Linked DNA regions of Caenorhabditis elegans. The protein of the gene in region 2 interacts with the protein of the main gene of each other region in a pairwise test. Each region holds a gene or a part of one and is shown on either strand. Other genes may lie near its edges.

Region 1 (7,466 bases), 650 kb from region 2:
TCTGCGTCTGAAGTGTGAAAAGATTACGGTAACCTATTCAATATGGCAAACTTTTTTCGGTTTGTATTCCCTATCAAATATCTTCTTACCAAAAACAATGACACATACACACCATCGTTTGGGCTTGAAGTGGTTAGGAACCAGCACCACACGACAGAAAGTGAGTGGCGGGGGGTCTTGACACGAAAGATAAATGGGCTCGCGACATGCCATCTCTCTTTTTGCTCCGCCACTGACTATTCTTGGGGTCGAGCTCTGCTTTCACGTCAACTATCGAGAGAGAGGGCGCCGCGCGTCGCCTTCTTCCTTATGCTTCATGTCAAAATGATGTGGAGAGAGGGAAAAGAAGGGGAGTACTGTAGCTTCCTTCCACTATTCAGTAGTAAATTGATTTATAATTACCCAAACAAATTGCCATTAAAGGTCTATGGATATTTGATTCGATTTGATAACTAGTATGCCCAGAAATAAATGGATATTCAGTGGGTTTTGTGAACTGGCGATATTCAGTGGAGATCAAACTGAGATCGTGGTAACGTTTTCAAACCAATTATCAATAATTTTATTGTTGTTTTTTCAATGAGGAATTTGTGGGAAAAAACATTTGAATTAAGAAGTGATTTATTATTCTGTACATTAGTACCAATTTTCTTCAAAAAATGACTAACCTGTAGTTGAATGAACACGTGTCATCCATGGATACACTGCACCGCCTGAATTCTTATCCATATCATCGTCATCACCACTGATGCCTTTCTTGTCATCATCCTTATCATCATCATCGTCTCCTTCCAGGTGCTTCCAGTCGTGATGGGTACTTGTTACTGATGGATTATAGCATAGTGACTGAAAAAATGTTTATAATTACTTGAAGTTTACGCTGAAAGAAGGAGAGCTTTTCAACTCTAGTAGGATGGCTAAGATAACTGTTCAGAACTTCGTTCATCGATCATGGACGGTTGGTTCCAAGCTATTGGGTTTTATCTGTTACTAGACTGAATGCAAACTTGAATCAAAGTAGTTTATTGGCTGTTTTTGTAACTTTCAAAATTTATTTCAGGCATTGAAAAATCGATCGATTGGATTTAACATAAACATAAAGCACCCTAGATCAACAAGCTTCAATAAAATCAATATTTGAAATGTTGCGAAGATTTTGGAAGAGATTCTCTAACCGATACATCTTAGCATCCAAGAAGAGACAAACAGCGGGAACAATTAATCTTGAAACTCTTCCTCTCACTCTTTCACTCTCTTCAGTCTTCTTCTTTCATTTTCCCTCACTGCGTTTGGTTTTCCTACGGACCAGTCGTTCTAGTTGTATATTTTCTTGAGTAAGTTTTTATTTCATAAGGAATAATCGTTTAAAAATAATTCATCTTGTGAGACCATTGTTTTGCCAAAAAATGATACTCTGCTCTAAAACTTCAAAAACTTTTTAGCAAATGTGTGTCTTAATCGAATTTAAAGCTAAAAATAACTACCTGTTGAGCATTAAATTTGTTATATTTATCAAAACTATCCACATTTCAAATAACCTTTTTTTATATTTAAAAATAGTTAGTACCAGTGCTTGGAGGTTTTTGCAGCTTCCAATTGTGAATCTAAAAAAGTACAAAAATCGATGGAACGATCATTAATCTCAATCTGAATACTCTTCTTCCTCTTATTCTCCATTTTGTAACTCGTTCTCATAAATTTTATTTCAATTCCTACTCTTCCAATGGTAGTCACCAGGCGCCAGTCCACTCACTTCAAAAGAGAAAATAAAATTGATCGCGTTGTCAGATTATTTTCAGAAACGCTGAGGAATTGATTGATTTTCAATTTTTGGCGGGAAATGACAGAAGTTTCAAACCAGTGGGAGGCGCCAAAAGGGTGTTAGAACTTTTGAATTAAAAAAAAACAGATGAAATAAAAAAAAACTTTCAAGAAATTTAAATTCCACATGGACCCGAAATGTTTCAAGAACTAATTGTCTCTGAGCACCTGTTTATTTTTCAAAATGGTTTGTTTTCAGAAATTAAATTCGATTAGCAAAAGTTAACCAAATCGGTCTCAGCGCTTTGCAGAAACTAGAATTATTTGAAGGTTGTCAAAAGTGCGGCAAATAAAAAATTGTGACTTTCTATAAATCTGTGAGCATTCCTTTATTTTAATTATCCCGAATCACACACTATTTTAGTTATTAAAATTTTACACAAATTTAATTTTTGCCAATAGAGGAGCTTCCTAACTATAACGCTCCAACTCTTGCTTAAAGTATGGTGACGTTCAGAGAACTTAAAAAGATTACGAAATTCGAAATTGCTGAACTTTTCTAAAATATCATTTCATCTACTTAAATTTGTAGTGTTTTTTTTTTAAATATAATACTGTTTTAAAAATTACCTTTAAAGTTTCGTAACTAACCTGATCTCCGAGTATTGGATATTGAGGACCTCCCAGTCCTTGACTTGAGGCAAAATATGAAGCAATTTGAGAAGAACTAGTCGGATCATAATAACTTCCAAAATGAGCAGAAAGTGCAGCAGACGCTGTCATTGGATCATATCCAATTGTACTCGATAATTCAGAAGATGATGGAATTCCAGATGCACCCACAGAAGATGTGGATGATGATGAAGAAGATGAGGATGAAGACGAAGAGCTTGATTCAGGAGCTGTAGCTCTCGGTGCATCTGTGGATGACGGTGATGTTGATGTGGTCATCTGGAGTGAAAACGAGTGAAAGTGATTGATAAGAATTGATTGAAAAGAGATGAAAAGATGAGGGGAGGGAGGGGAAACGAGGTGATATAATAAATGAGGACGAGAGGCGCGTCGGGGCGGTTGAACATTTGTTAAAAATGTGACGTCTCCCTCTTTCTCCTCTTTTCTTCCATTGCAAAAGAGACAGAATACCGGGCGCCATCCTTCCCCGATCCCGCCCATTTCTCCTATTGGACGAAGGGTGGAGTCTCAGAAAGCGGAAGGGATGAGGGAATAGAATAAGAGGACGATAGAGATGAATGCAGTAGTTAAAAAAAGAGATCAAATTTTTTTCATTGAAGTAGATCATTCAGATATTCCTAAAGTCTACATATCTTCAAAAACCGAATAACTAGTAGAATAGGTATTTAAATTTGAACAATTGTAGTGAGAGCAAGAAAACTAACAATTTGTGCTGCTAGTCTAGAATTCAGAGATACGTGTACAATCGCAATCAATGACCGGATCAATATCTCCCAAGAGCCCAAATTTTCAACACAAAAGTTAAATACGATGATTCAGTTCTTAAAATTTTGAAGAACTTTCAGCAACCATCAATTTCTTTTACAGGTGATCAGAGCTTTAAAATTTATTAAAATTCCTGGGCACATATAATTGAAACCAATAAATTTCAGAACACGAATTAGCAATAATTACCGTTTGATAGATTTTAAATTTTAATTTAAGAACCTTGTTTTTTTTAATTACTGCATTCATCAAAAGGAATTAGATCAACCTATCAACTACTTGTACCTAATCCTTAGGAAATCATTAAAACTAGGAAAACAACAAAAGCTTAAGAACGGAAACAGAACAAAAAGAGAAGAAAAGTAAAGAGTTGGAAATGGAGAGAGAAAAGATGATGGTGATAAATTGAGGAGCAATCTGCGAGAGACGAATTGTTTTTGTGGGTGTGCTCAAGTGGGTGGTCATGGTTTAAGACCCGCGGGTTTTACCTTATAAGATTGGATAATTGCTCTAAATAGCTTTATATAAACTAGTAAGCAATCTATGAGGTCAAGAAGAAGTATGGACTAGAAGTCTTTATGTGTTTTCTCTGTAGGCCTAAGCTCTGAAATGTTACCTAACACTATTCCACACATTCTCCATGTCTTGAATATTTATGTGACTACTGATTACAAAATGAAATTTCAGAAATATTGAGGCTGTGGGCAATCCTCGAAATTTGACGAACTCAGCAATTTCGGTAGATTTGTCGCACACACCTGACAATGAAGCTTTTAAGTTGGATAATTTAAAGTTGTGATAATAGCTTTTTTAAAGTAAGATTACATTTTGTTTTCTTCTATGATTCACAAATTAAACGAGGGTGAGATTCAATTTATTTAAATGATCGGCAGAATAACGGGAACACGGTAAAAAGGCGCCTTCGCAACGCCTCATAAAGTGCAACATCTAATCTGGGCTCATTTCTTCCAGATATGTTTTCAATTTTTCAATGGTATATTCTCCAATAATGCAACATAAAATGTTTTTTCGGAACGCAGGTAATTTGAATAAATTCCTACAACAAAAAAAAAACAGCAGAAGCCAAAGCCGAGTATCTAAAAATGTTTCAAATACTGAAATTTAGTCGATAACTTTGCGAAAATATAAGAGGGTTCCGAAATAAACTAGATTTTAAACGTTTTCTGCCACAAAGGTGGAAAATTGATATTTGAAGTACATAACTTGCAAAATTTAAAGACTACGTTTTAAATAGTAGAGAATTTTCCTATAACTTTTTCAGGTGACCTCTAGGTTCAACTTATTTAAAGTTAAGTTCCAGTTTCATTTAGAACTTTGAGAAGCTTTGTGCCAGGAGTGGATTTAAAAAAAGAGAGATTTACCTTAATTCTAGAAGGTCGTAAAAAAATGTTGCCAAAATTCTATTGTTGGTATTGCCATCGGAATTTCCTCTATCGCCCTCCCACTTCATGTCTTCTAATCCGGGCGGCACGCACAAGAAGACGCAGACGTACTGATACACGTGAAGGGTGGAGCATGCTTCTTCTCCAATCTCCCCCACTGTCGGCATAGATCAAAGAGGTTCGTGGAGCCGAGAGCACATCTCTTGCTCTCGCCTTTTCAATTCATCACTGACAGCGCTGGATGGACATGGGGTGAGAACGACAGGTACCGTAAGCTTTTGGGCTCCAAGAGTAGAAGAGTTGAGCAGAATGAATTTTCGCTTTTAAGTTGCCGCTTTTAGGAACAAAATCTTGACCAACTTTTTCCCATTGGACAAGTTGTCAAGAGTCAGTCGAAATGTGCTCAATTTTATGAACTCTCTGATTTTATAGATATGGAATTGTTACATGAAAATTGGAAAAATGGCAAAAAGGGAGAGTATCTCGGCTTTGGGCTAAAACTTGAGCAGAAATTGAGCAAGGTTTCGACAACATAGTCTAAGACAAGTATTGTCAAAGCTCTTACCAACTTTTGCCAACATCTGATAGTCCGCTTTTTGAGCCAAATGCCTGGTATGCACAAAAAGTTCAAATGACCAAAAGACGAATTTCTGTGAAATTTTAAAACGGCGTTATGGGAATTTTGAAAAACGTTGAAGTTTTTCTAGGTCATTGATCAGATTTTCTAAAAATTTAAGCTTCTAGCTATTTCTAGCTAAATTAAATGTTATCAATACTTGGTCGACACCAAACACTATTTTTTGGAATTGTCAAGATACCTAAATATAAAAGTCTACAACTGAAGCATACGCTTAATATGTTTTCAAGATTTTGCAAGGCATCTGAAATTGCTTCGAGATTTCCAGCAGTGCCTCACCTTGTTCTTAAAAGTAAAAGTTCCCGAAACTTGAGGTTTCAGAAATGCCAACTGCAACTGAATTGATTCCAACGCCTCTTACAAAATGAAAGAATAAAGTTCTAGAAGTTCCCTACTGTAAACATGCAAACAGAGATATTTAAACTATTTATAAAACTTAAAATGTGTTACTTTTGTTAACTTTGAAAGTCTTTTTTAATTTTTTGATTAAAATAAAATTTTCAAATTAACAGTACATAGAGAATTACAAATTCTCAGAGCCACAACACATGATAATGTACTATAAAAGGAAATAACCCAAACACATCACATTTTTTATTTCATTATCAGTTTTCTCAATCTATAAATGATCCAATATCCTCACACCTCTCACAGTATAGATAAGGAGATAAGAATTGCATAACACTGTGGTAATAAATAAAAAAAAAAAGTGAGTAAATGATTAGTAAGTGATTATGCAATTGACTCAAGTCTATTTCCTGTCTCTTTTACAGTGATTTATGAGTGTCAGGAAGCATCAAGAAGTGTGGAATGAATGGCATCCAATTACTCATTTGTAGGTACACGAATCAAGAAAAAATAGGTTGAAGAAGTGTAGGGATCTTCTCTCTTTTACAAATTGATGTTCGACAATTCCTCATTTTGATTTTTTTTGGTCTTCCAATCTAGTGCAAACAGAAACGAGATAGAATGAGTTACAGTAGGAAGTTCATTAATCAAATGACGAGAAAAAGAGGGAAAAGTAATGAATACATTGAAGCATAAGACAAAAAAGAAATGAAAGGAAAGGAAATTGAACCACCGGGGGATGCCTGGTGAAAAATGAGAAAAGAGGTAGCGAGTTTGGAAAATTGGAGTTATGAACTATATCTGAAAAAGTCAAACGAAAAGGGTTCAAAAGATCTAGAATATAAGCATCTGGAAACTTTAGCGTAACTTAACCCTAAATATAGTAAAACATTTAATTCTCTGATTGAAAAAAGTCTTAAACTAGATTCTAGACTGTCTGCCATATCAAGAATGTTAGATTATACGTCTACTTCAGAATGAGTGGAAACTTTTTACTCAAAGCTCGAAAATTCTCAAAAACTCGAAACATTAAAATAAGCTTGTCAGAAAATAGACCCGCACTTAAAAGAACACAGGTAAGGTTTGGCTAAACCTTTGACAAGAGTTGAATGAAAACACTTTCTGCCCAACCTTAACGCGACCAAGGTTATTCTAAGCTTTATCAATTTCTGTACCAAGTTTATATTTTGGGCCAATTTTGGAGTAGTTCCAATAGCGCTAAATGTTGGGAAATTTTAAGCTGCGAAACTCAACCTACCCTTCAAATCTTAGATTTCAACAATTATTATGATGGAAAAAAACTTCAGATATAGATCCTAAATTCGGTAAATTGCGTTTCTTCAAACTAGCCTATCTTGAAAAGTACGCGTCTAGAAAACAAATTATCTATAAACAAAATAATCACAAATATTTTTAATTTATTTTGTATTAGTTTTCAGTGCAAAATACCAATCATTTGTTGAGTTGCACAGGGGTAAACACATTTTACCAAAAGCCGCCGAAGTTTTTGAAAACTCTTTTGTTGTACCGGTCATATCCCAACATCCATTGAATTACAGAAGAAAAATTTTATTGGATTGCAATTGAAAAATATTTAGCCACATTTTATCAGTTTTAAGATTTTTGATATTTTCATTTTCAGCCTAGTTACAGACCGTTATTCGAAAAAATTTAAAAAAAAAACAACAAAAGAGTTTTCAAAAACTTCGGCGGCTTTTGGTAAAATGTGTTTACCCATGTGCAACTCAACAAATAATGGATATTTTGCTCTGAAAACTAATGCAAATTAAAGTAGAAATATATTTTTGATCATTTTGTTTGTAGAACATTTGTGTTCTAGACTTGTATTCTTCTTGATA
Region 2 (5,455 bases):
GGAGATAGTCATTTTGGGATTTTTAATGTCAGAAAATAGACCGTAATGACAGACTATAGCTGTTAAGAAATTAATTTTTTCGAAATTTTTCAAAAAATGGGCTACTTATTTTTAAATTCTCGCGCAAATAAATGGAAGGCATTTGTTCGTAAGAAAACGCATGATAATCAGAAAGAAATTCGCTGAAACTTCAAAATTGAATTGAAAGTCGATAATTTCACATTTATTCATCTTTTTTTTTGCTTAAAAAATTTATGAAAATCTGACAATCTTCGGAACATCAAGCAAAAATCACGAAAAGCGTTCGAATTTAGCCATTCATTTGCACGAGAGTTCAAAACTAATCAGAACTTATTATTTTTCCAAAGCTGAAATAATTTTTTAACAGTTATATTCGGTAATTATGGTCTATTTTCTATCATTCCTTCAAATCAGGTCGCAATGCATTACATATTTATTGGAGATAAAAAGATAATTAGGCACGAACACAGGCTCCTGCCACACATTTTTTTCCAACTGGACAGTCAAAAGTACAAGGTTCATCAGCATTTTCGTCAGTGATAACAACTCCACCACTTGCATGATTTGAAAAAAGACATTGTCCATAAACACAAAGCCTATTATCCGAGCAATCCGAATCAGTTCGACATTCTGCTTTCTTTGCATTAACATAAATTGAAAGAAGAAGAAGAAGGAAACACTGCAAAATTAGTTTTGAATATTAGCAAAAGTAGTATATAACTCACCAGAAACACCTTCATTTCAGTTTCACAGTGGCTCGATTGTATTATAAAATGCGTTTCCCTGTCTAGTTATAGACTGATCCCATGGGAAAATTGCAAACAATCGCAAGGGTGCAGTATGAGAGCCAAAAAAATCTATGTGAAAATATGAAATTTCAAAGCGGAAATTCATACTTTCAGATCGGGAATGATAGTTAGTCGAGATTGGCTGAGAGCGTGCATTATTGATCCATCGAAAGTCGATGATGATCGTTCTTATATGGTTCAGAAAGTTAGATGGATGGAAGGTGAAGTATTTGAAAATACTATTGAACAATGGAAGAAGACAATCACTAAAATGGTACGGATTTGATTTCCACTAAAGAAAAAAATACAACCAAATTTTTCAGCAACCAAAATTGTTCGCCGGTTGCAAATTTTTCATTCCAAAGCCAAAGTATAACTTCCTCGGTACGATTCTAATTTACAGTATTTTAATTTTTTCAATTTTCAATTTCAGATCGCCCAGCTCTTTTTGAAATTATTCGATCTGCCGGTGGTCAAGCTGCAGCGAGGGAGCCCATTATTGACGAAAAAGATCCACCGCCGTACCATAATGCCAACTTGAAACCAAACTTTGTGCTCTACAGCTTGACACATGATGTAAGTTTAACGAAGGAGTTTTCCTGTTATTATGGATTCGGTAGTTTCAGTTTGGTGACATTTTTATTTCTCTTTACAGATAGGAGACAAATTCCGCGACTGCACAAAGTACAATCTTGTCAGCGAGCAGTGGTTAATAGAGGCGATTCTTGGATGCTCCATCACAACACCACCACATTAACCATTTTCCGTTTTAAAATATTTTCTTTTGCGTTTCTATTGTAAAATTGCAATATGAATGATTATTTTTTGAAGTGTTATTTTATACACAACGGCATCCAATCCATGCAATTAAAGTTATGATGTAATTAAAATCGAGAACAAGATATAAATATAAGTTATGAGATCATATTAATTAAAAACAATTTACCGGCTTAAAACAAGAAAATTACAATTGAGTTATACAATTTACAATGATACAATTTACATTAAGAAGAATCTACACCATTCGTTTCCTGTACCTTTAATTTTCTTTTTTGATATTTGTTAACGGCAGTGACTGGACGAGTCTCATTATATTTCCGTTGATAAATAAAACAAGCATTACATTGAATTCCTTCCTTTGATCGAATATTCCTCCAACGAATTGTTTCAGTTACTGAACAATTTGAGCATTGAAATGACTTCTTATTATCAGAATTGCTCGGTGGAGTTGAACTTTGAGTAGAGGTAGATGGAGATGTAGATGGAGTAGAAAAATGAGTAAACGTGGTGAAATGGGAAGAATTAGGACTTCCAGTAGTTGGTGAAATATTTAAAGATGAAGAATCCATTGCAGTTGGATAATAAGAAGCATAAGTATTGACATAGTCATAGTAGTTATTATAATAAGAATAGTCAGTAGTGAAGGAGTATGTACCATTGAATGGAGTTGAATAATCATAGAATCCAACTTGTTGCTGGGTATTGTCAAAGACATTTTCAGCATTGAAAACTGGGTACGGATAAGCCATAGTGATAGAGAGAAGGAATAAAGTATGAATACTGACTCAAACTGATATTCTTTGGGCTCTTTTACTGTAGACCACACCCACTAGAAATGATGATAATGCTCTAAAAATCATCATGATGACAGAGGTGCAAGGTGGTCCTTCTTTACCTATTATCAGATAATGTAGGTGAAGATGGGCTCATTGTGCAATAGGTGGAGATGTTAACATTTCTCTAGGAAAGCAGGTGAAATCAGGACATGTTTCAGCCAACGTCTACAATATAAACCTTTTATGTATTTGTTTTCGGGCGGAACACAGCATGGCTTTTACTCGGAGAAAAGGAATCATATCAACGTGCCTCAAGTGTTGCGTGATTACTTGGAAATTGAGAATTGAATGGATAAATAAATTTTCCAAAACAATTTTGTATATGAATGAAGTGCTAAGGTTTTTTTAAAATTAAATTGCGTAAATGTTTTCAAGAGGGCCTACGCCTGCTTCATACCTACAGCAAGACTAAATTTGTTCGTTGTCATAATGAGATTTTTATAATCATCTAAAATGCTCTTCGAATTTGGGAATATTAGTGAATTCTAACAGTTTTACGTACTTTGGCATGTTTATTTTCTCACACTAACAAAAGTTTTATACAAGTATAAAAATATGATATAACAACTAAACAAATTTTTATTCGATGCAGAGAACATAGTTCAGATGAAGCAGAGGTGGAACACAGTAACCGTTTTTATACAAATATTTTTTGTCCCAGAGATTATGAAAATGAAGGGGGCTTTTCGTTGACAATTGAGTTTGAAACAAAACAAAAAGTTGAAATAAAATCTACACCCAAAAGGGAATCACATGTTTTCCTGTTCTACCAATATATTGAAATTCTTCATACCAATAGTAGTGCCAGAGGATGTAGTCAAAGAAATGATTGATTGATGTTCCAACGGCAAAATATAAAATCATCAGGTTCAGGTGAGCATTAACAGGATGGAACAGGGCAACCAGGAGCTGAAATATTTTAAGATTGCTCAGACTCCAGAATTTGAACTTTCCACCTAAAGGTAGTTCTGATATTTATCTAATAGATCAAAGAGTCTAACGAGACTTTTAAACAATTTTGATCATGAAAAAAACGACGACTTTCTTCCAGTTTTAATGCCCTGCTAGAAGACATAAACTGGAAACCTTACCTTATCTGCCGTTGCTATTGTTAAAATTACTAATCCAAAACAATACGCATTTTGAATTATTAACATCGGCCATAACAGTAAAGGATGTGGTTTTGGTATACATAGTGTTGTCCCTGTAAACGTGAAGGTTCAGTTAAAAATTTTGGAAAGGCTGTGATCGATAAACTATGGCATAGGAATAGGACCGTTTCTTAGCAGTGCCGGGCAACGACTAATTGAAAGAATCTATATCGGGAACTTTGGAAGTAGGCACGAGGCAAGCCTAGGTCGCCCAGTAGGTAAGAAAGTAGGCAAGTTCATTGACACTCTATGTTACTCTTCCCCTTGGAGCACTTACATATTGTTAAGGTCAATGCAATCATTTGAGTGAAACACCATAGACACCGCATATAGCCACCGTCTAAATAGTTTGCTATACATTCTTGGACCTGAAAATACTTGTTTGGAGAACCATCCAACAAAAAATGAACGAAATGTTCAGCTTACATTAATTAATTCGTGGAAAAGACCAAAGTCGAAAATAATCACGTCATGAGATAGAAAATGACCGGTATTGGAACGAGTTTCGTTGAATGAGCAATAGAATATCTGAATTAATGTAAACGATCAAGTCGGAATGTTTTTCAAGATTTTCGTTCTAGGAAACAAATGTACAAATGTATTTTGAAATTAATATGTCTACCCGGTAAAACAAAAAAGCAGGAGATCAGGGCTGGAATGTATGGGGTAGGTACAGAAGCTCTTTAGTTTGCTAAGCTTGTTTAGAGTCATAGAATGATTTTAGATTCTTCGGAAACTTATTTTAAAGTGTTTTTTGTTTTTCTTTCTTTTTTAAAATCTGATTTAAAAAATCCCCAAAAGATTTATAGGTAACGTGTGAAGTCATTCATCTTCCATCTACTGTTCCAACCAACCTTATTAAAAAGAGCAACTGAGTAAATGTGTTGAGCAAATGATACAGAAGCCACTACTAATTGAACCAGAGCAAAGAATGTGACCAGTTTTCGATTTCGAAATTGTATTCCAAACAGGAAAGTCTTCTCGTCTTCTACGTGAAACCATCGTAACATTTCTGATATATCACTGAAAATGATAGAGAATTTTACAACAAAAAGAAGAAAAGAAATTTCAGAGCAAATGGTGTCACACAGTGACAATGTAACAAAAAATGAGAAACATAAAAAATAGAATCACATGATATTAAAATTACACGCATAACTAGCTGCAATGCGTTGGCGAAGTGTACCAATTGCAGCTTATTTTCAACATTTCCTTACTTTTTCTCTTCTCAACGGAAATTCAAAAAATTTCCGGTAAGCTGGTGATAGTGGGGGAGATTTGACATTCGGATTAACACTTTTTTCATCATTTTTCGCATGATTTATCATCAAAGGGACATGACAGGATTACAGCTATCAGAATAGGATTTGTGTTGAAAAGAAGAAAAAAGGGGATTTGCAACAAGCTTTTTGAACAAATCTGAATGTTAGCATTGATGTCATCAGAGCATTGGTAAGATGTATCGAACGGAAACAAAATATTATGAATATGTGTTGAAGGCTTTTTAAACATCTTAAAATAATTTCTAATCAGTATTCCAAGGGAAAAATTTGGGAAAATATTTACAGGTGAAAAAAAGAGTCTATTGAACTTGCCGCTATGTTTCAATCCGATAACTGCTTACACAGCAAAATATCCGTGTTAAGTAGAGTTCGTGCATAGTATTATTGTAGGCATCAGATTACCTGCCCGCGTTTCTCGTGCCTAAACTACATGAAGCTGACGCCAAAACTCAGAAAATAGGCGGTAGGCAGGCGAAGGTAGTAAGTGTATGACTAACATAAAATTGTAGTCTATACAAAAATATGATAGAAGGTACAATCGGTATAACGGAATCGTATGATAAAAAGAGAAATTACTTCACTCTGGCAGACCATAT
Region 3 (7,426 bases), on a different chromosome or scaffold from region 2:
TCGCAACAAACCGACGCAAACACATACATACACAGTTTGACATCGGTTGCTCGTTAACTTTTTGTCACACAAAAAGTCATCGTCGTCGCGTCAGATCGAAGGAAGCTGTATGGATGAAATAGCGTGTGAATTGAAAGAGATTCTTAACCATTAATGTGTGCGGAGACCCCGTGGAGGGACGGAAGAGGAGGAGGCTTTATGGGTTCGGAACCTGTCTCACCCCTCTCATTGAAATCTTTTTTCGCAACATTTATAATTTCCGAAACGCTTTTTTGTTGTTGAAAATAGAAATCGATTTGATGATCCGGAAGGGTATATTACCGTATTCGAAACGGAGACTTAATGGAACAGATGAACGGAGAGAGAGGAGGAGGCATCCGATTGGATGATGGGTGGAGACTTATGAGAGGGGATATATTATGATTGATTGGTTTGGAAGAAAAATGAATATGTGGAGATATTGGGAAGAGCAACATGATAAGTTCATAAAGTTTTACCAACTAAAATAGAATGGAGTGTAAAAGATTTTTACAGGCTAAATCTAGGTATCATTGTGTTCAAGGGAGACGTTTCAAGAATGTTTTTGAAATGTATACTTGTAGTCGAAAGTTTGAGTCGCTCCGTGTTCACCTATCCTAATTTTTGAAACAAAGTTTGCCTTCGAACAAACTTTATATTTCAGGTTTCTTTTTATTAATCTTGCAAAATTTTGAAAATTCTGAATTATTTTAGTTTTTTTTCATTTCGAGTATATTTCTGCTCAGCTGTCTATTGCCATTTGGACATATGAGCAAACGGCTGAAATGTTGAGCCCTATTATTTCCAACTTCCGAATTTTCAGAATTGAACGTTGGTCAATTTCAGTTTTTTGCACCTCACAGTCCCCCTAACTTCTAGGCAAAAAATAAATCTTACTCCTCCTGTTCCACATTCTTCAGTTATCAATAAAACAGAGAGTATCGTCCCTAAATAGAAAGTCATCTATATACCAATTTAATAGTAAAATAAAACTTCTCCAAAAAGCAACAACCTTCCTTCCAAATGTCATAAAAAATTGTAAAAACGGTAAATGATCAAAAGAAGAAGAAGGCGTCGGAAACACATAAAACTTCATCCCCTTCTCCCAACAACGACGTCTTCGGGTCGCAACAAAACATTAAGAGTTTCAAATTGAACAAAAAAATTGAAAAATAATTGCGAGAATTAGCCAAAATTAGAGAAAAGGAATGAAAATGAGGGGGTGAAAAGGTTAAGTACGCTCTAATAAACATTACGAAAAAGGCAGCAAAAAACGAAGAAGGAGGTGGGTTTAACGGAAAAATTAAGACGATGTCAACGATTGATTATTGACAAAAAGGGCATGATTTGATTAACTTTTCCGCATATTACAACTAATTCGAGTCGATTGGGACACGATGTGTCTACAGAGGAAAGATGGAGGATACTGTAAATATGATAACGGCCGATTGAGAAAGGGGACTATGATTGTACAATTAGAGACATAATTTGAAGTTTTCAAACGAACAAATTAAAACATCGAAGCAAAACGACAACTTCAAGTATTTAGATCAAAAGATCCAAAGTAAATCCTGTTTCTTCAAAAAACACTGGAAGCAACAAATTTTGAACTTTCTAGATATCTTCAATTGTTTTAATATAATTTTGGGTAACCACACAAAATGTCGCTGTACATTAACTGTATAAAGTAAATTTCAATTTGAAAATTTTTAAAGTGAATGATTCATTTCTTTGAGAACTGGAAGACTGCTCAAAATTGGATATTTTTAGGCTTTAATTTTTTTAAATTAAAATTTCCAAAAATATTCCAAAATGTTTGCATACCCCTAGAGACCTTTACAATTATAATTTTTTCCGAATTCAATTTAAGAGCAAAATTACGGTCCTCCAAAGTAGTAGTAAATAGACTCGAAAAATCTGCTCTCAAAAAAATTTCAGCTGAAAGTTAAAACAAAAAATCTCGTCAAACTGCTCGGAAAATCAACGATATTTCTTAACCAACTTTAGCGTTTTTCTAGGTGCCATTTACGGAAGTGGCCGAAGTTGGCGAAATTTGGCTGAGAATTTGGTGACGAGTTGCCTTTTGCAGCTGAAATCTTTCAATTATCAGATAGTACTGGATTCAAAGGAACTACCCAAACTTTCGTTCGAGGCGAGAATTACATGACGCTATCTATTTTCAGTTTTGAACTGTTTGATTGTGCAAATATCGTAATTGAGCCCCTTAAAATAAAGTACTCTGGTAACTGCAACTCATGAGCAAAAACTCAAAAACTCTTCATTTTTATCATCTTATCTGTGTGCGAGTCAGTTGGTTTGATATCATCCATTCAATAATAGTCTCATTCATTCTCTTCTCACGCGCTCATAAAGAGTCCTCCAATGTTAATGAGTGTTATCCAAACGCTCCTCCTCCCCAAATATCTTTTTTTTCAACTCATCTACCTCTGCTACCATCAAAAATCCATAAAATATATGAGATGATGATACTCTGCTGGTCCTCAAATACACACTCTCACACACACATTGTGACACACACACATAATGTTTCAATTTTCGTCTCCATCGTCCAACCAATTCATATTGCTTGTTGAAGGAGGAAGCTCTGATATTGCACACTATTTCTCTCGTATTACACAAAAACACTATAATAAATGATCGAGTTTCGAGGGGAGAAGACCCACAGAAGAAGAATTCTGATTCGCAACAACAACGTCTTCATCCTGCCACTCTAAACTTCTTTTGTGTTCGATCATAAATTCGATTTTATGATGGCTCGACTCGACTCGTGTCGAAGGCGGCGGCTCGCGGACCTCGAACACAATAATGTTGCCACTTGAAGCACAAAAAAGAGAGAATCAATAAGGCTTTCAATAGAAAAAAATAATAATGGGCTCAGCCAATGGAAGAATCAGCAGAGAGATGAGATGACAATAAGTCTCAAGTCTCACACACAAGAGCACTTGTTCGTCACAAAAAATGATTTGTGAAGATGAAGCCGAGAGCTGATGGTGGTGGTTTAGAGACAACTGATACCGGAAATTATGATACAAATGATACACTTCTTTTCTCAAAGATGAATATAAAATTTTTTTGAGCATACGTGCCTGCAAGGCAACCTCGGCCTAATAGTAAGCCTATATATCTTTAAATAAAAAAAGGTTAATCTTAAATTTCAACATGTTTATAGAAAATATACGACTGTAAAATTTGTATGCACATACACAGGCAGAAAGTACCAAGAAATATTCTGCATACAAAGTCATGCTCTAAGAGACTGGGTCTTCACATTCATCGAATTGTCAACAGCTGTTGAAATGTTTGACAGTACTGAATGGAAAATTAAACTTTTATTGTCACAGGTGAAATATTTGTGAAACTCGTTTTGGTTAACATTATCTACTAAAAACTTTCAAAACAAATTTCAGTCTTGCTCTTTGAGCTGGACACCAAGTTCAAATTGTCAAATTGTCATCCCCTTTTCAACATGCTCTCATCCTTTCTCTCTCATGTCTGTCTGTCTCAGAACTTGCCAAATTGATTGGTTTTCTTTTTCTCCGAAACTCTTTCTCCCTTCCCCTTGCACTCCCATATTTGGACATTTTCTCTCTCTCTCTCTCGTTTCTCTGCTTTCTTGCTCTTTTTTCTCTCTCACTTTCTCCTCATAGTCGCTTATGATTGGATGGAAATGTGACGGAGGGGCGGAGCAATATGAAAAGATGAATGGAAATATAATAAGTGTCTCTGGTCTTCGGGAGGAGCTCTTTGGACTACGGTAGGTTTTGATTGGTTATGATTGAAAGAATCGAAGGAAAAGCATTGAAAAAACACTAAAAATGAGGTAAGAAGATACGAAAGAGATAGAGATAAGAGATATGTTATCATATTTGACAAGGTTCTGTGTTGGAAACATTTTAATGAAAAAGTGTTCCTTGAAGTGGAACAGATGTGACAGATTTCTCATTAAAACTTAAAAAAATGAATGAACGAGAAATATATGATAAATTATATTTAAATGAAAATGCCAAACTAGGATGGTTTTGGTAATATTAATTTTTTTTTAATACTGGTTTTCTAGCAAATGTCTCGTCCGAAACTATTCGAAGTAATATGAATAATATTGATAAGTTGATAAGAGGAATTGACATTAAAATTGTAAATTTACACCAATTTATTGTCTCCTTCCAATTTTCATTACTTATGTCCCAAAAACCCATAAAAACTAGTGATAACTGGTTTTTCTAGAAAGTCTAAAAACCTTCAAAAATGTAGAACTAAAATGATTTTGAAACATTCCAAAAGTGCGTTTTAAGTTTTAATATTCAACTTTGTTATTTTCGCAGAAAATTTCAAGATTTCAAGGTCGATCATCATCGCCTTGTTTCATTTTCTTGTCTTTTACTTCATTAAACACCCCGCATTTTCCTCTCATTTCCCTCAACTTACCACCAGACATTCGACGTGGTTTTGACTGTTTTCTGCGGGATGAAACCGCGGCCATCTCGGCGAGCAGCTCATTCATCTGGAGCTCTGAAAAGTTGAAATTACTAGAAGATGAGCATGATAGGCAAAGAATGAAAGAGTAATAGTGGACAAGAAGAGGGAAAAAAGCAGAGAAAAGGATACAAAACAACACACACAGAGAAAAGAGACAGAACAAAAACGATTTATATTAGAAAGATGAGAAGGCGACGGGACAAGGGGGCACATATTGCGAAAACAAGGCTATTATCAAAATTTATATTATTAGAGTAAAATGGTAAAAGTATTGAAGACACGAGATGGCAGTAAGGGAATGGGAATGGAATTCAATTGACGATAAAAAATTGAACTTTAAAATAGAGTCATTAATCATAAATGATATTGCTCGAATGAGCTAGTTATCGAGCGGCGAGCCTATAGTCTAAATTTGCCCATAATGCATTTTTGGAATGAACATTTTTGAATTATGCACCGGCTCGCCATTTGTCTTTGCAAAAGTTACGAAATACTTGGTTATATGACTGGGTTTAGGCCGCACCCAGATTCAGCCCAAAATTGATCTAACTCTTTTCAGCGTCTCAGCCAAGTTTAAAACGATACAATACAAGTTTCACAACAGCTAGATAAAACGTGAGTTTAATTTGGGTACATCATAAACCAGGACTTTCTCAAGTTTGCCCCGAGCTTTGTCAGTTTTTGAAAGAGTAATTTTTGGATCAACCATAGGCAATCAGTTCGCGCCAAATGACGAGTATAGCCGCAGAAGAATCTTGAATCGGATGATTTTTTTCGAGTGTAAATATGAAATTTTGTTGTTCATGGTTGGGTAAAGAAAGAATATCTCAAAAAATGATCAGGGGAAGGTAGTGAGTGATGATGTGAGTAAGTGAGGGTGTAGAAGATGAAAATCGTATAAAATGAGTGAGTGAGCGGTTCCCCTTTTCCATGAGGTGGATACGGTGTTGCAATTGAAATAGTTGGAAAAAAAGGATGGAAAAAAGATCGGATCGGTATGAATATAAAGTGCGAGATGCGGTTGAAGATTCCGTTAAATTTGGTGGGGTCTGAGTTCTGTTTGTGTGTGTTCTACAGGCTTTTCGGATTATGAGTCATCAGATCTTGTAGACTAGAATTATTTTAGGTTGAGTTGTAAAGTTTGATTTCTAAATTTAGATAGGAAATGAGGATCGGACGTTTTCAGATACAAGCCTTAGTGCAAAGCTAACCCAGAAATTTGTTATAGATACATATATCGCTATAAAGTGACAGTGTCCCTTTCTCGCAAATTGTGGCGTCACAATTAGTTTCTAGTACAAATCATTTTTAAAAATCATGCTCGACGCCAGACTACAGAAAAAATGGTTGCTCCGTCTTGCAGATGTTAAGCTTCTGTAAGTGAGCTCTGAAAGGTGTTAGCTGAGATATTAAAAATAACATGGCAGGTTGAAATTGTTTTATGTGAAAATGGAACTACATTATTGAAAGTTCTCAAGAAAGTCTCAACCTCAGAACTTGACTAAAAAAGCAGAAATTTCTAAAAATGGCAAATCAATGAATGAATAACTGAATTACTTGCATGATTTGTTGAATGATTGATAAAACACTAATTGAATTAATGAACACAGTCAACCCCAGAAAAAGTCTTTTTTTTTCTCTCTTCATCAGAAGACGTCGTCGATGATTCGAGACGAATTTGATGATAATTGTCACCCCCGTGGTGGTGGTGGTGAGGGGAGACATATTCGATTCGATTCGCGCCAGGTACTCATTCTTGTACCTGACGCTCCGGGCGCCTGTGTGAGGGACGAGATATGATCTGGTAAAATATGAGTTGTTGCAAAAGAGAGAGAGAAGGCGACCGCCACGGGAGACCGACACGTCTTCTCCCTCATACATGACTCCGCCCATTTTGTTCTTTTTCTTTTTCACTCCGTTTCAGAACTGATAGAGATGCAAGTAGTTTGGGCCCCCGGCAGTTCCGAGACCCAAAAGCCCCGCCCACTTTTAAATTGCCCATTTGAGATAGTGAGAACGAGAAGTGAGAGGGTGCAGAGAGGCAGAGATAAATGAATTACTACTGTGTGGGGCTCTCGATGATGATGAGGAGAAGCCTCCCCGGGCCTCAACCATGGGGCGGCTGTTTGTGTTGCAATTTTATGATTTAGCTAGATTGTGATGGAAGAGGAGCAATGAAAAAGAAAATGTTAGAATAGAGAGAATACAAGTAATCTACTCAAATTGGGAAGTTGATGATAAAACTAGGTTTCCGTGAAGTTAGACAAATAGAAAGGAATCTTTGGGGCCAAACAAATTTACCTTCTGCAAACATCGTACTTCTTTAAGTCATATTAATATTTCACCCCCAACAATTTGTATAAAACCAAAGAATCGTGATATGAGCAAGAAAAACAAATACGGTCTATTAAAAATTAGCAACAAACTTATTTTTTAGAACTTCCTAGAAGTTTCACGGTAAGTTGCGATTGCTGGGCAGGCAAGTAGGTAGGCATTTTTGTGTTAAATTTCATCAGATTCCAATTTCGAAATGTTTTTATTTTGAAAAAATTACTTCAATTAAAAAGAGATGAAATACTTTTAATTTTTTTAACATCTTTGAATTCTAGAACTTGTATGAGATTAATTTTTGATTATGCCTTCCAGAATCAGATGCACAAAATCTAGATATTCCAGTTATAAATGGAGTACTTTTAAATTTATGAGTTATCTAGGGTTACTGTAGAAAGGTGTCTAGGTTACTGTGTGAAAGAAGGATGGTACAAGTTGAATAACTTGATCGAGTCCCAATCCATGTATGACATACACGAGGCACGAGCAAAAAAACGTATGTCGCGGGGTGTCGTCGGTTAGTAAAAAAGAACAAATATAAGAATTTGAGGAGTAGGATTGCGGAACAAGGAGAAGCTTC
Region 4 (9,619 bases), on a different chromosome or scaffold from region 2:
TTACCGAACCAAAAAAAACTCTAAATGTTAAAAATGGCACCTGCACGCGGGTTTGAATGCTTTTACGTTATTGCGTAAATGCTAGACTTCTTGACTAGACATTAAACACCCAGAATTTCAATTTCAAATGCCGGAGAATGTTATTTCCAGATGTTTGAAAAAGAGGAAAAAAACGAAAATTATAATTAGCGTTAACACATTCACTTTTCTGCTTTGAAAATGCTATCTGAATGAAAAAGACCACACAGACAATGGGCTGCGATCGGTCGAAAAACACCATTTTTATTAAATTTCAAAAACAAAAGCCCTCGATTTTCAATAGTGTTTGTTTTTGACTATTAATCATGGTTCAGTGAAAAGCCTAAATTTAAATAAAACGGAGAATGCAAATTAAATCTAATTCCAAACTAATTAGGATAAATTAAATGTTAAAAATTGAAATTTTCTTAAAGTATGAATATCAGTTCATAAGTTTTTTTGCAGAAAAAAAACCAAAACGATGCCATGCAGCATTTGAGCGGGAATTTAAAAGTAATAATAACAAAGTACGTTTTACGAAATTCTCAACAGCTCCCAGTCATAACGGTACATTTTATATTGTTTGAAGCAGGGATGTGCAGCAATTTTGCCATACTTGCCGAGCACGGCAAGTTTCAGAAAAGTGGATGTGCCAAAATTGCCGAGGTCACCAAATTTACAAATTTGCCGCACACATCAAAAATTGGGCGAACCAATTTTGACTTAAACTATTGATTTTGTTTTAAAAACTCTAGTAAAATAGCATAGCATTGAGTTACTTTCTCATGCTGGCAGACCAAACGGACCTCACCAAAAAATCAAATCCGTGCTATCAAATCCGTGACTTCAGTAATTTGGGTGCTCCAAAAAATGGCAAAAAATCATTATATTTTTCTGAATTTGCTCCGCAAATCAAATTTGCTGAAATTGCCGAGTTTGCTGATATTGGAAAAAAAGATTTGTCAAATTTGCAGAGCTCGACAAATTTTAAAATTCGCATCATACGCCCGATTTGAAACAAAATCTCAAAAGACACTACTCCGTTTTCAATAGCTTAAGATCAGTTTCACATAATTTTGAAAAGTGGTTGCCTCGTTTAGTAAAACGAAAAAAAAATCTTCAACTATAAATGAGTAAAACCATGTGAACTTTTAAACAGCTTCAGAAAAATGCACAATATTTCGGTAGACTTTCAAAATAATAAGTGAAAAAAAACTGCTAGACGTAGTTTTGAATCCTTATATTGTTATGATACAAACAATCAAAAAAGGTTGAAATATAAAAATGGTAGGAAAAACGTTTCTAGCTGACTTCCAAAATTAGGGGTACCACTTTTTGGATGCACATTAAAAATTTCTACAATTTTTAAAAAGTATTGCAATATCTGAATTTTTACATCCTTAAAATGGAGTACCAGATATAGGAAATTTCAATATATCGCAACATTCTAACCTGTGTGAATTGACTTGCAGCAGCTGGTGATACAAAAATACTAAATGTTCAAAACATAAAATGGACAAGGGAGAGTCACAAAAAATTATCTAAATATTAATTCATTTTCGAGAAATATTTTAAGCATCTATTCTGCAATAACATAGATTTGACTATTTTTGGAGTTTTATATGGTTTTAGAATACTTTAAATACACTCCTGAGAAATTTTGAATAACAATTGAAGCCAAACACAAGTTCGTAAGTATTTCATCTAGCAATTTTTCGTTTTGATGTAAGAAAACGAAAGCTGCAAAAAGGGAATCAACTAGTACGAAATTTCTTGAAGCTGAAGTTTTAGACAATCGACTGAGTACATCAGGAAGAAATCAGAAATGAATCATGCTCAACCTTTCACTATGCTGATTGTGACGTCTAGTGGGTCGAAAAGGTAAAAATGAATTTTCACATCGCTTCACCTGAAAGCACATTACCCTCTGAAACGGGTTCAGTTTTGCATTCAAACAAAATGATGTTTTATGCGAGGATAACATCATCTTGTGAGAGTTTCGTTTTTGCTAGTTTTTTGTATGGCTTATTACTTCCTGCATTTTGAACTTTGAAAATTATTTATCACAAATATAATGAAATGAAATCATTGAGGGAAGGAAAAAGTCAAGGCGGGAAAAAAGGGTAATGCTATAAAAGTCAAGAAAAGGACCAGAAGAAATAAAAAAGGAAACATTTAGAACAATGAAGTAATGTAAAGGACGTTCTAGGTAAATCGCTGAGTGCATTTAAGGCTACGTTTTATTGAAGCTATTGCAACAAAAAAGTAAAGTAGATTCGGATTGTTTGGAAAATGTCCACCAGTTTCTAAGATTGCGGTAAATACAATTGTCAGGAATGAGAGCACTCTGATTTTTTTTGGAAGTTTGAAATATTTGGATGCAAAGATAAGAAGTAGCTACGAGAATAGGCATTATGTACAAAGATATAAACGACAATTAGTTTAAAAGCCAACCAAAACCGCTTTAAAAGCTGTTGGTTCTTTGATTCAGAGTATTTCGGAAATTGCTCAAAGGATTGTTGTATTTCAATGGCTCAAAATGCTGATTAGAAACAAGGAATGAAAATGACTACGTGGTTCAACTAGATTTGATGACACCATCAAAATCGGAAATAAAGAAATTGAAATCGTTTGGATCTAGGGAACCACTGAGGGACGGTTCATGTGAATCAAATTGTTCAACAACATTCTCATCGCAGGATTTTGAAATAGATTGTTCGGCCCTGGAGATGGCATAGGCATCATCGGAGGAGGCAGCATCACGGGTGGCATCGGATTCGGTTGAATTTTGCGGAGGAAATCCACTTGAACTTGCAACTCTCTAATGGTCTTTTCATAGGCACGACATTTGTCCTCAACTGCAACAAGCTTCCCTCTGGCTACCTGAAACATCATAAACTTATGTAAATTATTAAAAATATCAGTGGGTGGGGGATAACTCAGTCGGTAGTGGTGGCCGCTGAAGAACTACAGGTCACGAGTTTTTACAGTGCGCGCGCTTCTTGTAGGACACCCCTAAATTTGTGAAGCATTGGAATACATACAATTCTTCAGGAAAATTTTTTGTGATATTTGGAATCGAGTGTGTCAAAAAACCTCGAATCCGTTTTCATAAATTTATCATCACAATTGAAAGCACCCGTTTTGCTATAGGACCCTGAGATTTTAACCAGCTGAAACCTAGCGTGAACTTGAAAGTGGAGCAGTCCATGACTGGATTATCAAACTTAACCTAAAGACTAATCATATCACCAGAAGTACTGTACCTAATTCCCAGATTCTCTTCACATAGCGCTCGCAAAATGGATGGTTTTTTATTTTTTTTTTTCATATTTTAAATTATAATTCAAAACCATTTAAGACAACTTCCTAACCTGACAATCAAAGCATTTCAAACTTTCGCCCGAATGACTAGACGATCCACCACTGATGTGAGAATCCGAAACCGTTGGAGAAGGCTGATCATGGGAAATGTGGATGTTTTTGTCATCAATCGTCATTTTCAATGGTGGTTCGCCCTGAAAATTTTGAAAGTTTCATAATATGACATATTAAAGTTTAATGGGGTGAAAAACAAATTTTCCTCAAAATTTCAATAAGTTTTCCTTACATCATCGCCTTCCACATCAATATCAGCATCGTGTTCCAGTTCTCTTTTGAAAGTTGGTTCAGTCTTGACAATGACTGACCGAGGGCTGACATCACTGCTTTCCACTTCAAATTTGATGTCTTCTTCAGTTGTCTGCACTTCTAAGTCGTCATAATCGCTAATATTAGAAGACTGGATGGAATCCTTAAAATGTAATACATTTGAATTCAAAACATCAAAGAGTTGTAACGTACTTTGGACGGTGTTTGTTGCGCTGCCAGATTAAGGGCCGCCGTGTTGATGGGATTGTTGGCAAGCCACGCTGAGAGGAACTGTGAAGGACCCATGTTAGAAAGATCCAGGGGGAACATCGATTTGGAGTCGGGGCTTTTGAGCAGTGTCGGGAAAATGGATCCAATGTTGTTATTGTTTGCAGCAACTTGTAACATACGCTTTTGCATCAACAAATCAGGCGAGAAGGGTGGAGACTGACGCGGGGAGCCCGACTCGGATGTGCTATCTACAACTGCAAATTTGTATTAATGGATTTCAAAATTTGTGGGTAGATCTTTACCATCTGAACTCTTAGCTAAAACAGCCGCTTCCCCCGGTGTCCCATTTTTCAGCATACTCTGCATATGGATGTGAAGACTTGTTTTGTCGGGAAAAGCCCAATTGCAACACCGACACATAAACATTCGGGTAATGTTGTGTACTCGATACATGTGACTGCGTAGTGTATCGTTGCCTGCAAAATTGTTTCTTAAGGTTTCCTAATGACTGAACAGTGAGAGCAGTGCCGGCTCATTTCGCACTCATTTTATTATGGTAATTATCAAATACTATTTGAACCCTTCTCCAGCTTTTGAATTCATGTCTCAATGATCTAAATATTTGTCGAAAGTAACATGTAAATGGCTATTTGCCAACCCCAACTGCATTGCTATTTCCATATTCCACTTAATTGCCATTCTTTGTGCCACCGAGCCTAACTGTCTATCAATCAAATGAAATTCGCAACATTGGGACACTATACGCGCGCCCGTAAAGGCATGTTAGGTGCCAATGTGACGAATGTTCTACGACGACCCCCCTCATTTGCATGTTTGTCTGAATTTGAAAATACGCACTATAGAAAATCTATAGAATAGCGGATCTTGCCTACCGACAAAGCAGTAACACAAAAAAAAACGACAAACGCAGGGGTCAGGCTGTAAAACATTTTCATGTTATGTTTCGGTATTCTACTGGTTGATCCGCTTATTGTTGGATTGCGCACGAGTAATATAACAAATCCTGTTGATCTGCCTGCTAACATGCCGCCGTATGGATTCCACGTATAGGCGAGCGGTGAAGTAAGGTGTGAAAAAAGCTGGGTGCTTTGGCCGAAAGTTTCTTGAACGACCCCCATGCTCAGCGAACCGTAACAAATGATTGACGGCGAGTGAACAACCAATAAATTGTAATGTTGGAAAGGTGGTAGAAAAAGAAGAGGTTGCAATTTTTGTTGCGGAAGATGGGGAAAGAAGACAATCGGTGGTTTTTTTTTTACTTTGCCCGCGCGCTGGCCCTATTCTTCGCTCTCAAGCTCACTTAGCGACAGTGGCGTGCCAACAATTAGCTGATGGATGGTCATCAAATGACTGACCTTGGAGGTTCATCCTACCTTCCATTCCAAGAAAAGAAACCATTAAGTAATACATACATACCGTCGGTTATTTATGCCTCTCGCTCTCTTAGGAAGCCGCTCGGGATGGAAAGATGGGGCAATTAGACAATGCAAATAGCAGACGTGTTATTGTAAAACTGTGGCGTAATATGGTCAGAGGTGTCTTTTCAAAAGATTCTTGCACAAATATTAGAGTCAATTTGTTATTATTTAATACATGATACTGCTTTCCATTATAGCTGGAGACGCTCCAGTGGGAAATTGAAAAAAAATAACGCCGAATTTGCCAAACGACGCTACAAAAATTTTTTGAAATTTTTAATTTTGTTTTTAAAATTGGTAATTACTTTTTTGAAAGTCGTCGATAAACAGTCGCCTACATATTTTTCAAATATAAATATTCAAACATTGTAGAGATCCGAACATGCGGCATTGCTATAGTTTTCTCGAAAAGTGGCAAGAACACAGTTATTGCCACTTTTTGACTGTCAATAATGTTGGTCATTTTGGCTCTATATAAGTGGATGTTAACCATTTCCCCACTGGCACTACTCCACCTTTAAACTTTTTGCTACTAGTCCAAAAGTGCACATGGTTGTTTTAAAAGCTTAACAGATATTACTAAATAGATACTCCTAATTGACAGTCGGAGCTATCTCGGTATTTGCACACCTCCTCATTCAGTTTGCCATGCCATATAGATGTCTACAATTAAGAATACAGTAGTAGTTGGAAAGGGTGTCAATATTTAGATAACCAATGTAATTTTTTGGCGGAAAGAAGGAGACTGTATCAACCTTGTTTGACACATGCCCAATATAGCCACGTGCTAATCGGAGGGTGTGAGTTGAGTTTAAGCTTGTCAGTAAACAATGCCACTGAGCTTTCGCGCATTTCAGATTATGGAGACTTCCGATCAAATAAATGTATTGGGAGGGAGATTAGAAAAATGTAGAAATGCAATAAACTGGTAGAAGACAGAAACTAAATGCAGCAGGAAATAGAACATTCGTTCAGAATTTTAATTCAATTTTGAAAAAATAAATTAGAAAGTTAAACATCACCTAGAACCCATAATTTTTTATTTTTAGATTTTTAGATCAATTTTAAATTTTCAATAGAATAAGTTCCGTACAATTCAACAATAGCTATGTTCTCGAGTTAAGTTTCCCTCTCTTTTTTCTTATTATCATATGATAAAACATGATACAAAACTGTGAAAACATCAATAGCGGCATAAATTGTTTCGCTCTTTCTCCCCTATTGTTAGTCAAGCTCCTGCTACTCTGATTCATCTATTTCTCTTTTTTTTCTCAAACTTGCATTTTCAAACTTACTTGGAATTTCGTTGTTGCAAGTGGTACAGGTGTAGCTTTTAAAGTGAGCCTGCATCCGGTGACGACTCAGAGACGAACTGTGGCAGAATACTTTTTGGCAAATCGAGCAGGGAAATGAGCCTTTCAAATCGGGACGTTTTAGCTCTGCACGATAGGGCATTGTCTAAAAATGTTTTTGTTATTTGATGAAGCTTTTAGAAAATGGTGCTGAAATTTTCACAAAATCGAATTTGAAAGGAAACACTAACAAGGAAGAAGAAAAAAACGGTGGACAGTTTGAATGAAAGAGCGCTCATAGATGAACAAGTAGGATGGGCTACCAAGACCTCCACTACTTGAAAAGTTTTGCGTACAACACTCGAAAAGGTATTCAGACGCAGCTCTTCTCTCCGGAGACAAGAAGGTCGTCGCCGGCTGACACCAACCAGGTATTTACACCCTCACTTGATACTGTTTAAAAGTAGCGAAAAAGCATACATAGCAGCGATTGGACAATGCATTACAGTAGCTCAAGTATGGCGGGGAAGGTAAGAGTGCTCGAGAGGAGGAAGTGAGAAAATAACAGAACATTCAAAATCGAAATTTGTCACACGGCTTCTGCAATCTTAAAATGAATACTACAGTAATCCGGTGACCTGTGCTCTTGGACTAACAAAATGGCAAGCAGTAGTGCAAGAACGAGCTGAAGGCTATGACTCCCCCCGCCTACCCGATTTTTGGAGGCGGGGCATACCATGCAGAATAGAGATAGTGAGCGACGGGACGCACGGGGTGAGGGGAATGGCATCAAGCACAGTCGGGATAGTAAGTGGCAACAATTTTGGCTAGCAATTGCGAGTTGATTAGCTTTCTCAATTTTGAAAAAAAAAAGTTGGAAGCGAGTCTTAGATAGAAGCACGATGCTCTTAGGAACAGATGTGGGCAAGCTGTTCAAGCTTTTTTTTAGTATAGAACACAAGCGAATAACAGTTGGGAAACTTCTACCAAACACGGCTGACCCAAAAAAAAATAGAATGACGCGAGGGATACACCAAAAAAGCCCTCAAACCATAGACAGCATGATTGCTTGAGTTGAGGATTGCGCGCATCTTCGATTCTCGTGTTCTTTTTTCTTATTGGACGACCACAACAAAACCAGTTTTGTAAAATTGATTCGGGTTGCGCAATGCTAGAATAAACTATCCAACATCGCTATTATATTCGAATTTTTGTCTCTCTCTCGCTCCCGCTCCCCCTCTCTTCTGACTGCCATTCGACCCCATAATCACACAATGCTTTGAGGCCGGTTTTCTCGATCCGCATCAACAAGTTCAACTATCTCTATTCAATGTGCTATTTTAATTGGGCACACACTACCAAAATTTTGAAAATGTTGAGTATGACTGTTGAGTTTCTATCTATCTGTATTATTTTTTTGGGCCTACACACGCCGCAGCAACTACAGTAATTGTAGAGCGGTGACGGATAAGAGTGTGAATCTTACCCCGTTGAGATTCTCGGCACGAACAGGGATTGGCCTTGGCCGTGTGTCCAGGCGCTCGTATAATAAGGATTCACCTCCTCCCGCGTACAGGTCGCGTTCCTTTTCTTGACGGCTACATAATCAGTAGCTATCATAGCACATCTTGCCTTTTCCCGCCAAATGTCTATCTGGTATATATCTCCGAGAGAAAAGAAACAAGAGGCGAGTAAGGTAATGGAGATATAGCGAATGGATAAGAAAACTGTTCCATATACTACATCAAAAGACAGACAGGTGAACGCAAAGTGACAAGAGGTCTAGGTGGGCAAGTAGGAGGAACATATGAGAAAAAAGGGAAATGGAAATGAACATTTTTTAGAAGTTTTCAATTTTAGCAGGACTAACAGGTATTGGAAAGAATGTTTGAAGAACCTAGGAACATACTTTTATGGTCCACATATTTGCATCAATTAGACATTCAAATAGAGAATGCTCCTATTCATATATGTATTAGCATATTACAATTGTTGCGATTTTTAGTTTTTGGACTTAGTGAAATGGTTCAAAACCACGCCTTTTGTGCTAAAACGTCTAAGTATCATAATGAAACTTTTGCAATATTTAATAATATTTAGAGTCGAAAAGCGGAGAAAACTGAGTTTGCATGTTTGAACCTCTAAAATGTTGAAGTATGCATATTTTGAACACAATTTTAAACAAAAAAAGCTTATTAAAATTTTTTTTGTGAGTGAGTTCAGACTCAGAATAAAAATGTTTCCAAATTTTTTTTTAAAGCTTGATTATTTTTGCGCCATTGTTTTTAATAATTTTCCACTGGCCGTAGTTCAACTTTTATCAAAACCTCTGAAAGACTTCTTATACCATAGTAAATTGAAAAGTTACGTAATGACGAGAAGGAACGACGAGCCAGCAGCTACTTGAATGATTTTTTTTTAGGTCAAACGGCAAGCTAATCGTTCTAATCGTTTTTGCGGACAGGGCAGGCGCGACGAAATGCAAGGCGGTTACGTAAGAACTGCGAGATAGAAAAAGGGAAGAGTCTTACAGGGGCGGCCCCAATCGAGATTGAAACCCCAAGCAAGATGGGGGCACCTTTGGACATTTTGTAGCAAAGTGAAAAAATAATTGTCGTATTCGAACAGTTCGCGCATAGTCTGGTGGCTGTAGGGGTTGGAGAACAACGAATGTTAAAATTTGAACACACCTGGCGATGTGGGTTGAATTTTTTGAATACTTTTGAATACGGTTTTGAATATGAAGTGAAAATTGGAGAGTGTGGGTACAGCTGGTGGGGAAATGATTAAAAATTTTTATAAGGTGTTAAAATGACCACATATCATAATAAAATTTTCAAAAGTTTATTTGAAAGTATTTTACTTCTAGTCAGAAGATGACAATATCTGAGTTTTTGCCATTTTTCGAATAAGCTAAAGCACTGTCGCATGTTCGAACCTTTGCAATGTTGGAATATGAATATTATAAACATAATTAGAAAATAAAACTGTAAGAATTTTTTTTTTGAT

Evidence for each region.
Region 1: the proteins of med-2 (region 2) and lin-39 interact in a two-hybrid assay, tested with the Caenorhabditis elegans proteins (one large-scale study listed by BioGRID).
Region 3: the proteins of med-2 (region 2) and sem-4 interact in a two-hybrid assay, tested with the Caenorhabditis elegans proteins (one large-scale study listed by BioGRID).
Region 4: the proteins of med-2 (region 2) and ham-2 interact in a two-hybrid assay, tested with the Caenorhabditis elegans proteins (one large-scale study listed by BioGRID).

The regions. Positions count from the first base shown.
Region 1 is NC_003281.10:7,531,989-7,539,454, forward strand, and holds the start of lin-39 (Homeobox protein lin-39), read right to left. Parts: upstream 4,645-7,466; 5' UTR 4,602-4,644; intron 2,713-4,601; coding exon 2,413-2,712; intron 847-2,412; coding exon 669-846; intron 314-668; exon of another isoform or gene 173-313; intron 1-172. UniProt on the Caenorhabditis elegans protein: Transcription factor.
Region 2 is NC_003281.10:6,881,386-6,886,840, reverse strand, and holds med-2 (GATA-type domain-containing protein), read right to left. Parts: upstream 2,339-5,455; coding exon 1,814-2,338; downstream 1-1,813. Other genes in the region: brd-1 (BRCA1-associated RING domain protein 1), read left to right, coding at 924-1,083, 1,133-1,193, 1,243-1,385, 1,465-1,566; K04C2.7 (Polyprenol reductase), read right to left, coding at 3,158-3,334, 3,517-3,629, 3,854-3,944, 4,003-4,104, 4,431-4,586.
Region 3 is NC_003279.8:7,036,022-7,043,447, reverse strand, and holds the start of sem-4 (Spalt-like protein sem-4), read right to left. Parts: upstream 4,549-7,426; 5' UTR 4,541-4,548; coding exon 4,465-4,540; intron 2,808-4,464; exon of another isoform or gene 2,737-2,807; intron 1-2,736. UniProt on the Caenorhabditis elegans protein: Transcription factor, involved in positive and negative modulation of transcription. Binds to multiple DNA sequence motifs in the regulatory elements of target genes, including homeobox selector egl-5 and LIM homeobox mec-3.
Region 4 is NC_003284.9:4,551,848-4,561,466, reverse strand, and holds ham-2 (Zinc finger protein ham-2), read right to left. Parts: upstream 6,783-9,619; 5' UTR 6,774-6,782; coding exon 6,614-6,773; intron 5,969-6,613; exon of another isoform or gene 5,825-5,968; intron 5,535-5,824; exon of another isoform or gene 5,093-5,534; intron 4,725-5,092; exon of another isoform or gene 4,586-4,724; intron 4,356-4,585; coding exon 4,182-4,355; intron 4,134-4,181; coding exon 3,862-4,133; intron 3,812-3,861; coding exon 3,629-3,811; intron 3,537-3,628; coding exon 3,393-3,536; intron 2,902-3,392; coding exon 2,656-2,901; 3' UTR 2,059-2,655; downstream 1-2,058. UniProt on the Caenorhabditis elegans protein: Probable transcription factor that acts downstream of egl-15, to promote migration of the HSN motor neurons from the tail to the gonad primordium during HSN cell differentiation.